Linked DNA regions of Caenorhabditis elegans. The protein of the gene in region 2 purifies or fractionates together with the protein of the main gene of each other region. This does not show direct contact. Each region holds a gene or a part of one and is shown on either strand. Other genes may lie near its edges. The genes, in order: glrx-5 and nfu-1.

Region 1 (3,754 bases), on a different chromosome or scaffold from region 2:
GAGATTTTTTCAATTTTCAAAACAAAAAAGCATATAAAATCTAGAAAATTTTTTTGAATTTTTTAAATCATAATATTCGGTCATCCCACTTAGCGTAGTCCACCTATAAATATTCCAAGCTTCTATATATAAATGTTCAGGTCATCATGGCAACCAATCGTATCGACATTCTCGACCCCGCACTTCTCCGTCCCGGCCGTATCGATCGTAAGATTGAGTTCCCGGCTCCAGATGAGAAGGCTCGTGCCGATATCCTCAAGATTCACTCGCGCAAGATGAACTTGATGCGAGGTATCAACATGGCCAAGATCGCCGAGCAAATTCCCGGAGCATCGGGAGCCGAAGTCAAGTCGGTGTGTACCGAGGCTGGCATGTTCGCGCTCCGTGAGCGACGTATTCATGTGACGCAGGAGGATTTCGAGATGGCTGTTGGAAAGGTTATGCAGAAGGATTCGGAGAAGAATATGTCCATCAAGAAGTTGTGGAAGTAAAAATAAAAATGCAAATTTCGACTTTTTTTATCGATTACCCCCCCCCCCCTTTCACTGATTTTATTGTAAAAAATGGACCCTATTTATTTATTGTCTTTGACCTCCCGTGCTCTCCTTCTTTTGCTGAATAATGCAATCTTTATTCGAAAAAAAAACGTCTAAATTTCTAACAGGATTATTCATTGCTTCCCATATTTATTCGAGATTCCCTTTTCGTCTAAAAAGTCGGAAATCTCTCCGTCTTTGTGCATTGAAATGAGAATATCACATCCGCCGACGAACTCTCCCTTCACATAGACTTGTGGAATTGTTGGCCATTCGCTGAAAATCTTGACACCTTCTCTTAGCTCCTGATCGGTCAGAACGTTGTAGTCTTGGAATTTTACATTGTGGAAGTCGAGAACCTGAAATGGGAAAATGTGATTTTTTGGGATTTTTTCTTTTTTTTTTTAAAGCGAAACTATTACGGTAGCACTAAATTCTGAGAATACGTATTGCACAACACATTTGACGCGCAACATATGAAATATCTCGCAGCGAAAACTACAGTAATCCTTTAAATGACTACTGTAGCGCTTGTGTCGATTTACGGGCTCTATCAAAGCTGGTAAATCGACACAAGTGCTACAGTAGTCTTATTTAAAGGATTACTGTGTAGTTTTCGCTACGAGATATTCCATATTTTGCGCGTCAAATGTGTTGCACAGTACGCATTCTCGGCATTTTGTGGTTTTGTAATATTTATCATCGAATTTTTGTCGACTTCAAGCTAGGAAAGCTCGAAATAATGAGATTTTTCAAAAAATTTTAAAACAGCGGCCTTTTAAGCTCGAATTTTACCAATTTTACCAAAAGAATCGAATAAAAATCAAATGCTGGCCGTTGTGATACGGAAAAACTGGTAAAATTTATTTTGATTTTTTTTCTGAATTTTGCAATTTTTTTCAAAAAATTTGAAGAAAATCGTTCTTTTGAGGCGATTTTAAGCCCAAGAATTACACTAAAAATGCTAACCAATTAGCGATTCGCTCGGCCCACTTTTGAACCAATCAGACGGTATGGGCGGAGCGCGAAGACGCTGATTGGTCGGAGAGTAGTCAAATTTGAAAAATTGCCTATTTTGCAATTTTTTTTTGTTGAATTTTCCACTTTTTTCCACAAAATCTCCATTTTCCCGTACCAATTTAACATTTCTCGAGAATCCACACGCTGGCTCCTGTTGTGTTCCCTTCATAAAAACGACAACATCATCTTTTTTCACGATTCCGTCGATTCGTTTGCGAACTTCATCGCTAAGTCCGCCACCACCGGCTGATGAAGCTGAAGCCGAGAAGTTGGCTGCTCGAACCATTGAGAACGCTTGACGTGATAGTACGCGCAACATGGCTGGTTTTTTTTGGCTGAAAATCGGGGTTTTAGAGGAAAATTTAGGAAAGCAATTACAAAAAACCACCAAAAAATCGCGAAAGATATTTTCAAATTTTGGCTAAAAAATTGATTATTTTTGTTGAAAAATTGGAAAAATAATTTTAAAAAATCTATAAATTTTCAGTAAAAACCGAAATAAAATCGGCCACATGATTTTTTTTCGGGCGTCATAGGGCACTATTTCGCAATCAATTGTTCAATTTTTTTAAATAGAAATTGATAATATTTAAAATTTCAAAATAAGCATTAGTTTTTAAACTCTTACAAATCGGAATAATAATAAAAAATTAAAATTAGAAATTTTTTCTTCGAAAGGAGAGCACTCGTGTGTTATAATAAATACCAGAAATTGAGGTGAGAACTTGAGCGGGAAAACAATAACCGAAATATTTTGAACCCGGAGGAGGTGAGAATTTACAAAAAATGATGATAAAATAATCAAATAATTAAATATGAATTCCTAGATAAAATGGATAGTAATTGAAATATTCACAAGAATGAATGAGATTTTTTTTCTTTGAGAAATTGAAAAATAAGATTTTCGAGTAAAAGTGCTAGAATGAGGGTAAAATTGGGGGTGGGTTTTTCGCAAAAAAAAAATCATAGAAAATATTGAGCAATCGGTTGCTTTTTCGGCTCTCCTCGATTCTCCACTGTTGCCGCTTCGAAAACTTCAAAAACGGGGTCGCTGTCGATATTTTCCTCGGTGACCTCCATGATTGCCGCCACGTTTCCGCATCTGAAAATTCGATGTTTATTCTAAATTGTAAATAGGAAGGCGCAGTTTCGGGTTTGCAAGCCTGCGGCGCGGTGTCGATTTACGGAGGATTTTGTACTACACGTGGACAAGTTTTGGTCTATTTTTGCGAATTATTTTCGTCTTTAACATTGAAAATGGTTAATCAGGGTTGATTCCGACTAATAAAATCGAAAAACGAGCTTTTTTCTGAAATTCTAAAAATTTTGGGTTTTTAATTTTCCGATATTTCGACTTTTTTTAAAAAGATTTTTCTAAAATTAGATTAAATTTTGAAAATTTTTCTTCTTTTTAGGTGGCTTTTTTTTTTGTTTTTTCTCATCAATTTGAACAAAATTAGAATTTAAAAAAAAAACGAATTTTATGGTTATTTTCTAACAAATTTTGTGTTTTCGGTGTTTCGATTTTACAGAAAATCGGCAAAAAACTTTTTTTTTCAATTTTTCGAATTTCCTTGAAAAACATCGAAAAATGACACCAAAAACCGGTCAGAAAATAAAAAATTTAAAAAAAAAGAAAATTTTCTGACCGTTTTTTTGGTGTCATTTTTCGATGTTTTTCAAGGAAAATCGAAAATTTGAAAAAAAAACATTTTTTGCCGCTTTTCTGTAAAATCGAAAAACCGAAAACACAAAATTTGTTAGAAAATTAACCTGTTTCACTTTTTTTCCTTAAAATTTTACTCGAAATCATGACAAAAGTACAATTTTGATAAAAAACATTTTTTTTTGCGTTTTCGGTTTCGAAAAAATCCTTTTTTGTCGGATTCAGACCATTCTGAACGCTTTTTTTTCACAAAAATAGTCAAAAAACAGTAAAAAATCGGGTTCTCAGTTGTCCACGTGTAGTACAAATCTGCAGGCTCTTATCTATCTGTTTCGACAGTAAAATTCAATTTTAATGCATTTTTTGGAGCAAAAATTCACAAAAATTCTACCGATAGCAGTAATTGGGCGCCGACCAAACTGTGACGACCCGCTTGCGAAAATGAAGTTTATATCCTTCCATAACGAGCTGATGAGCTCGACAGATTCGAAGGAAATCATTATTCTCGCAGAACAGCTCGGCAGCATCTCCT
Region 2 (3,610 bases):
ATGAAGGCAAAGTCGGGAACATATGGGGAAAATCAGATGAAGATTCAGCTTGGGGAGGATTGTTTTCTCAATTCCTTCCACAATTGGGTGCCAATTCGAGTTTGAACAATTCCAACTCAAAAAATGATTCATCGGTTAGTTTAACAGCATTGAAAACAAATTTCTAAATTTTTATCTTATTTCAGAATGAATGGGGACAAAACGAGTTCATATCGCAGCTTCTTATTAACTCATCACTTCCTAATGCTACTTCGAGTCCACAAGGTGCTTCAACCATATCATCAGCACCAGTGCAGCAGCCATCTACGTCTTCTGTTACTACTGGATTATCTTCTTTGGAACTGAAAGGTTGGATGCCAGCCTCATTTGCACCGTCTGCTCGTGATCCGAATAGATCTCAACCACCCCTGTTTGCAAGATCTCAATCGAATTCTGTTGCTAATAGCACTTCCACGAATATTCAACAGCAACAACAACAGCAAATTCAACACCTTCAACAGCAGCAAGCACTACAACAACAACAGCAAAGGATTCAGCAATTCCAGCAACAATACCAACAGCATCAGTCTCAAAGTTCTCAGCAACCAAGTGACTTGATGTCTTCAAAGTTTTCAATGCTACAATCACAACAACAGCAGCAGCAACTTTACAATCAGATGCAGTCGCTAGGTCAAGATGGACAGGGATCCAATCTGTATAACCATGTAGGGATCCGTGATTTATGTCTGAAAATACGTTATTTGATTTATTTGCAGCTTGCCGCCCAATTATTGACTCATCAAGAGAGTTCTACAGGAGCACCTGGTCCAACAAGTAGTCAACTTGCAAATAGCTACTATCCATCACCTTCGTATACGGATGCCAGTGTTTTAGGGCAAATTAGCATGCCGTCATTGTCACAGAGAGGAATAAAGCAATTTGATGGATTTAATGTAAGTTTAGGACAAATTTGATGTTAAGATAGCAGGATCAGTTTAAAAATTAATGAATGGAAATTTAGAATGACTCTGATGGCGTTATTGCTGCTATTCTCGAGCAACAACAACAACAGAAGAAACAAGGACTCGCACAACAATCGTTCATGCATAACTCTCAACAGCCACAGCCGTTCGGAGCTCCCAGCAACGCTTCTGCAAATCAATCGCGACTCGGAATGATCCAACCTCGGCCCCAACCGCCACCATTTGTTGCTCCACAAGCTCCACCTGGATTCTCTTCTCTTGGAAATGCATCTTCCACGACGAACCCATCTCGAACTTCTATGCAGCAAATGTATCAGCAATACGGACAGAGTTCACAGCAACAGCCTTACGGTCAGATGCCTCAAGCGTAAGTTCTACGATTTCTAATTAAATATTTGTTTATTTATTACAGAATGGATTGGAACCGACTTGGACAGCAACAGCAGTCTGCATCTGGCCAACAAAATCATCAGTCATCCTCGTCAAATAAATGGTCTTCCAACTGGTAGATATCGCTCACAAAATCGTCTTCTTGTCAATTAGTCCCCCCTCCCCTCATAATAATTCGGTGTTTACTTGTTTTTTATTCAACCGTGAAACAATATGTCTTCCCGGTTGAATTGCATCCATTTTTCTTTATTTCGTCTCCTCGTTCCGGGTTTTGTAACACTTTTTCTTCATTTTAAATCTAGCCTTTTTTGGTCCATTTTTTCTTTCAACTCTCAAATGTTCGATCTTTCCCATCCCTAGCAAGTGTTTTCTTGCGAGCTCAGCCTTGTGGAAATTGTACTCTTCTGTCCAAATTATTCCCGTTTACCCATTTTTTGTTCTTTTTATATCTCCCCCGACATACTACTTCTTTTTTTTCGGTTATTTTTCAAGTCTTCCAACACAACACATATGTATTTGAGACGGATGTCAAATGGTCCCAACTTTTTCTTCCCTTTATTGAAAAGTGTGTCTTATTTTTCACTTTTGATGTTTTACTCGTTGTTTCATATGAAACCTGGGCATTTATTTCATTGCTAATTAATTATGACTTTCTTCGCTTTATGTTGATCCATGAATCGTGATTCTTGAAAGTATACAGGTTAGGCTATTGAAATGTACAACTCGAGGTTTTGATTCCTATATCTTGAGAATTAAGTCGGTAGATGTTGAAAGAACAAAAATTTTCAGAAAAATGATTTCATCAAAAATGCTCACAAGACTGAACCGGAGCTTTGTACAAGCAGGTGATACTGGTTCCAGAAATTCTTTCATTTTTTAAAATTTCAGCTCGATCAATGTATATTCAAGTTCAGGAGACACCTAATCCACTTTCTTTAAAATTTTTACCTGGTTAGTGGAAACTTCACTGTTTAAAATCTGAAATGTAGTATTTCAGGTCAACAGCTTCTCCCAGACGCCTCGAAAACATACGATTTCAGCTCAGCGGCTACAGCAAAACAAAGTCCACTTGCTATGTAAGGAATATTCCAAATTTTAACTACCATTCAGATAAAATAGTATTTATTTGTAAATTTTCAGAAAACTTCTTCGAGTCGACGGAGTGAAGCGTGTGTTCTTCGGAGAAGATTTTGTAACTGTCACGAAATCAGATGAGACTGTTGACTGGGCTCTCCTCCGTCCGGAAATCTTCTCAACAATTGCTGATCACATTCAAACCGGAAAACCTGTCATAAATGAAGCTGCAACTGTTTCCGACCAAGTGGAAGAAGATGATGAAGTTGTAATGATGATCAAAGAAATTCTAGAGACACGTATCAGACCAATGGTACAAGAAGATGGTGGAGATATCACTTATGTTGGTTTTGACGATGGTGTTGTCAAATTGAAGATGCAAGGTTCATGCACAGGATGTCCAAGCTCTGGAGTCACTTTAAAAAATGGAATTGAGAATATGCTCACATTCTACGTGCCTGAAGTGAAGGAAGTTATCGAAGTTAAGGATGAATCCGATGATCTTGTGGAACAAGAGTTGAAGAAATTTGAGCAATCAAAAGGAATCAAAGACTAATTGATAATTGATTCGTGTATAACTAGATTTGTTTTTATTAGTGTTTGCTGCTAGAGATAAATGTTCAATGAATATTTATAAAAACTTTTTTATTACTTTGAAAGTCGTATTAGTAGAATTGGTTTATGACTCTGAAATCATCGAATCACGTCAAAGTTCAACGGCCCAGTCCAAATCAGTGATATCAGTTAAAAGACTTATCACCCGGAAAAGTGGAAAATTGTGCTTCGTAAATTGATAAGAAATCAGTCAGAGTGCTGCTCAAAATGTTGAAACAAATTCTTCTCGTCGCTATTATTTTAAATTTAGGAGTATCTGCGTATAAGAAGAAAAGCTTGATTCATGTTAGTTTTTTTTTCAAGTTTTTGAATTTTCAATGTTATCCAGACGCGGAATTTTGCTATTTTTGCGGCTGGTTCGGTTTCTGAACGACATCATTTTAATAAATGCGGAAGGTACGCGCCTTTAAAGTGAACTGTATATCCAAACTTTATTTGCTGCGGTCAATTCTTCATAGTTTTTCGAGAAAAATATGTTTTTTTATTTATTAAACAAACTACATTTTGAAATCAAAATACAAAAATCTTCAGAAAAACATGAGACAACAACTTTTGCATTTATCAAAATT

What was found.
Region 1: the proteins of nfu-1 (region 2) and glrx-5 fractionate together in Caenorhabditis elegans (co-fractionation; one large-scale study listed by BioGRID). This does not show direct contact.

Annotation. Positions count from the first base shown.
Region 1 is NC_003281.10:12,371,967-12,375,720, forward strand, and holds glrx-5 (Glutaredoxin-related protein 5, mitochondrial), read right to left. Parts: upstream 1,892-3,754; 5' UTR 1,876-1,891; coding exon 1,672-1,875; intron 896-1,671; coding exon 671-895; 3' UTR 616-670; downstream 1-615. Other genes in the region: rpt-6 (26S proteasome regulatory subunit 8), read left to right, coding at 141-491; pph-4.2 (Serine/threonine-protein phosphatase 4 catalytic subunit 2), read right to left, coding at 2,520-2,658, 3,614-3,754.
Region 2 is NC_003282.8:10,385,272-10,388,881, forward strand, and holds nfu-1 (NFU1 iron-sulfur cluster scaffold homolog, mitochondrial), read left to right. Parts: upstream 1-2,141; 5' UTR 2,142-2,145; coding exon 2,146-2,197; intron 2,198-2,240; coding exon 2,241-2,303; intron 2,304-2,349; coding exon 2,350-2,428; intron 2,429-2,492; coding exon 2,493-2,982; 3' UTR 2,983-3,080; downstream 3,081-3,610. Other genes in the region: Ankyrin repeat and KH domain-containing protein mask-1, read left to right, coding at 1-134, 186-704, 756-932, 1,001-1,329, 1,375-1,471; R10H10.3 (CUB domain-containing protein), read left to right, coding at 3,249-3,326.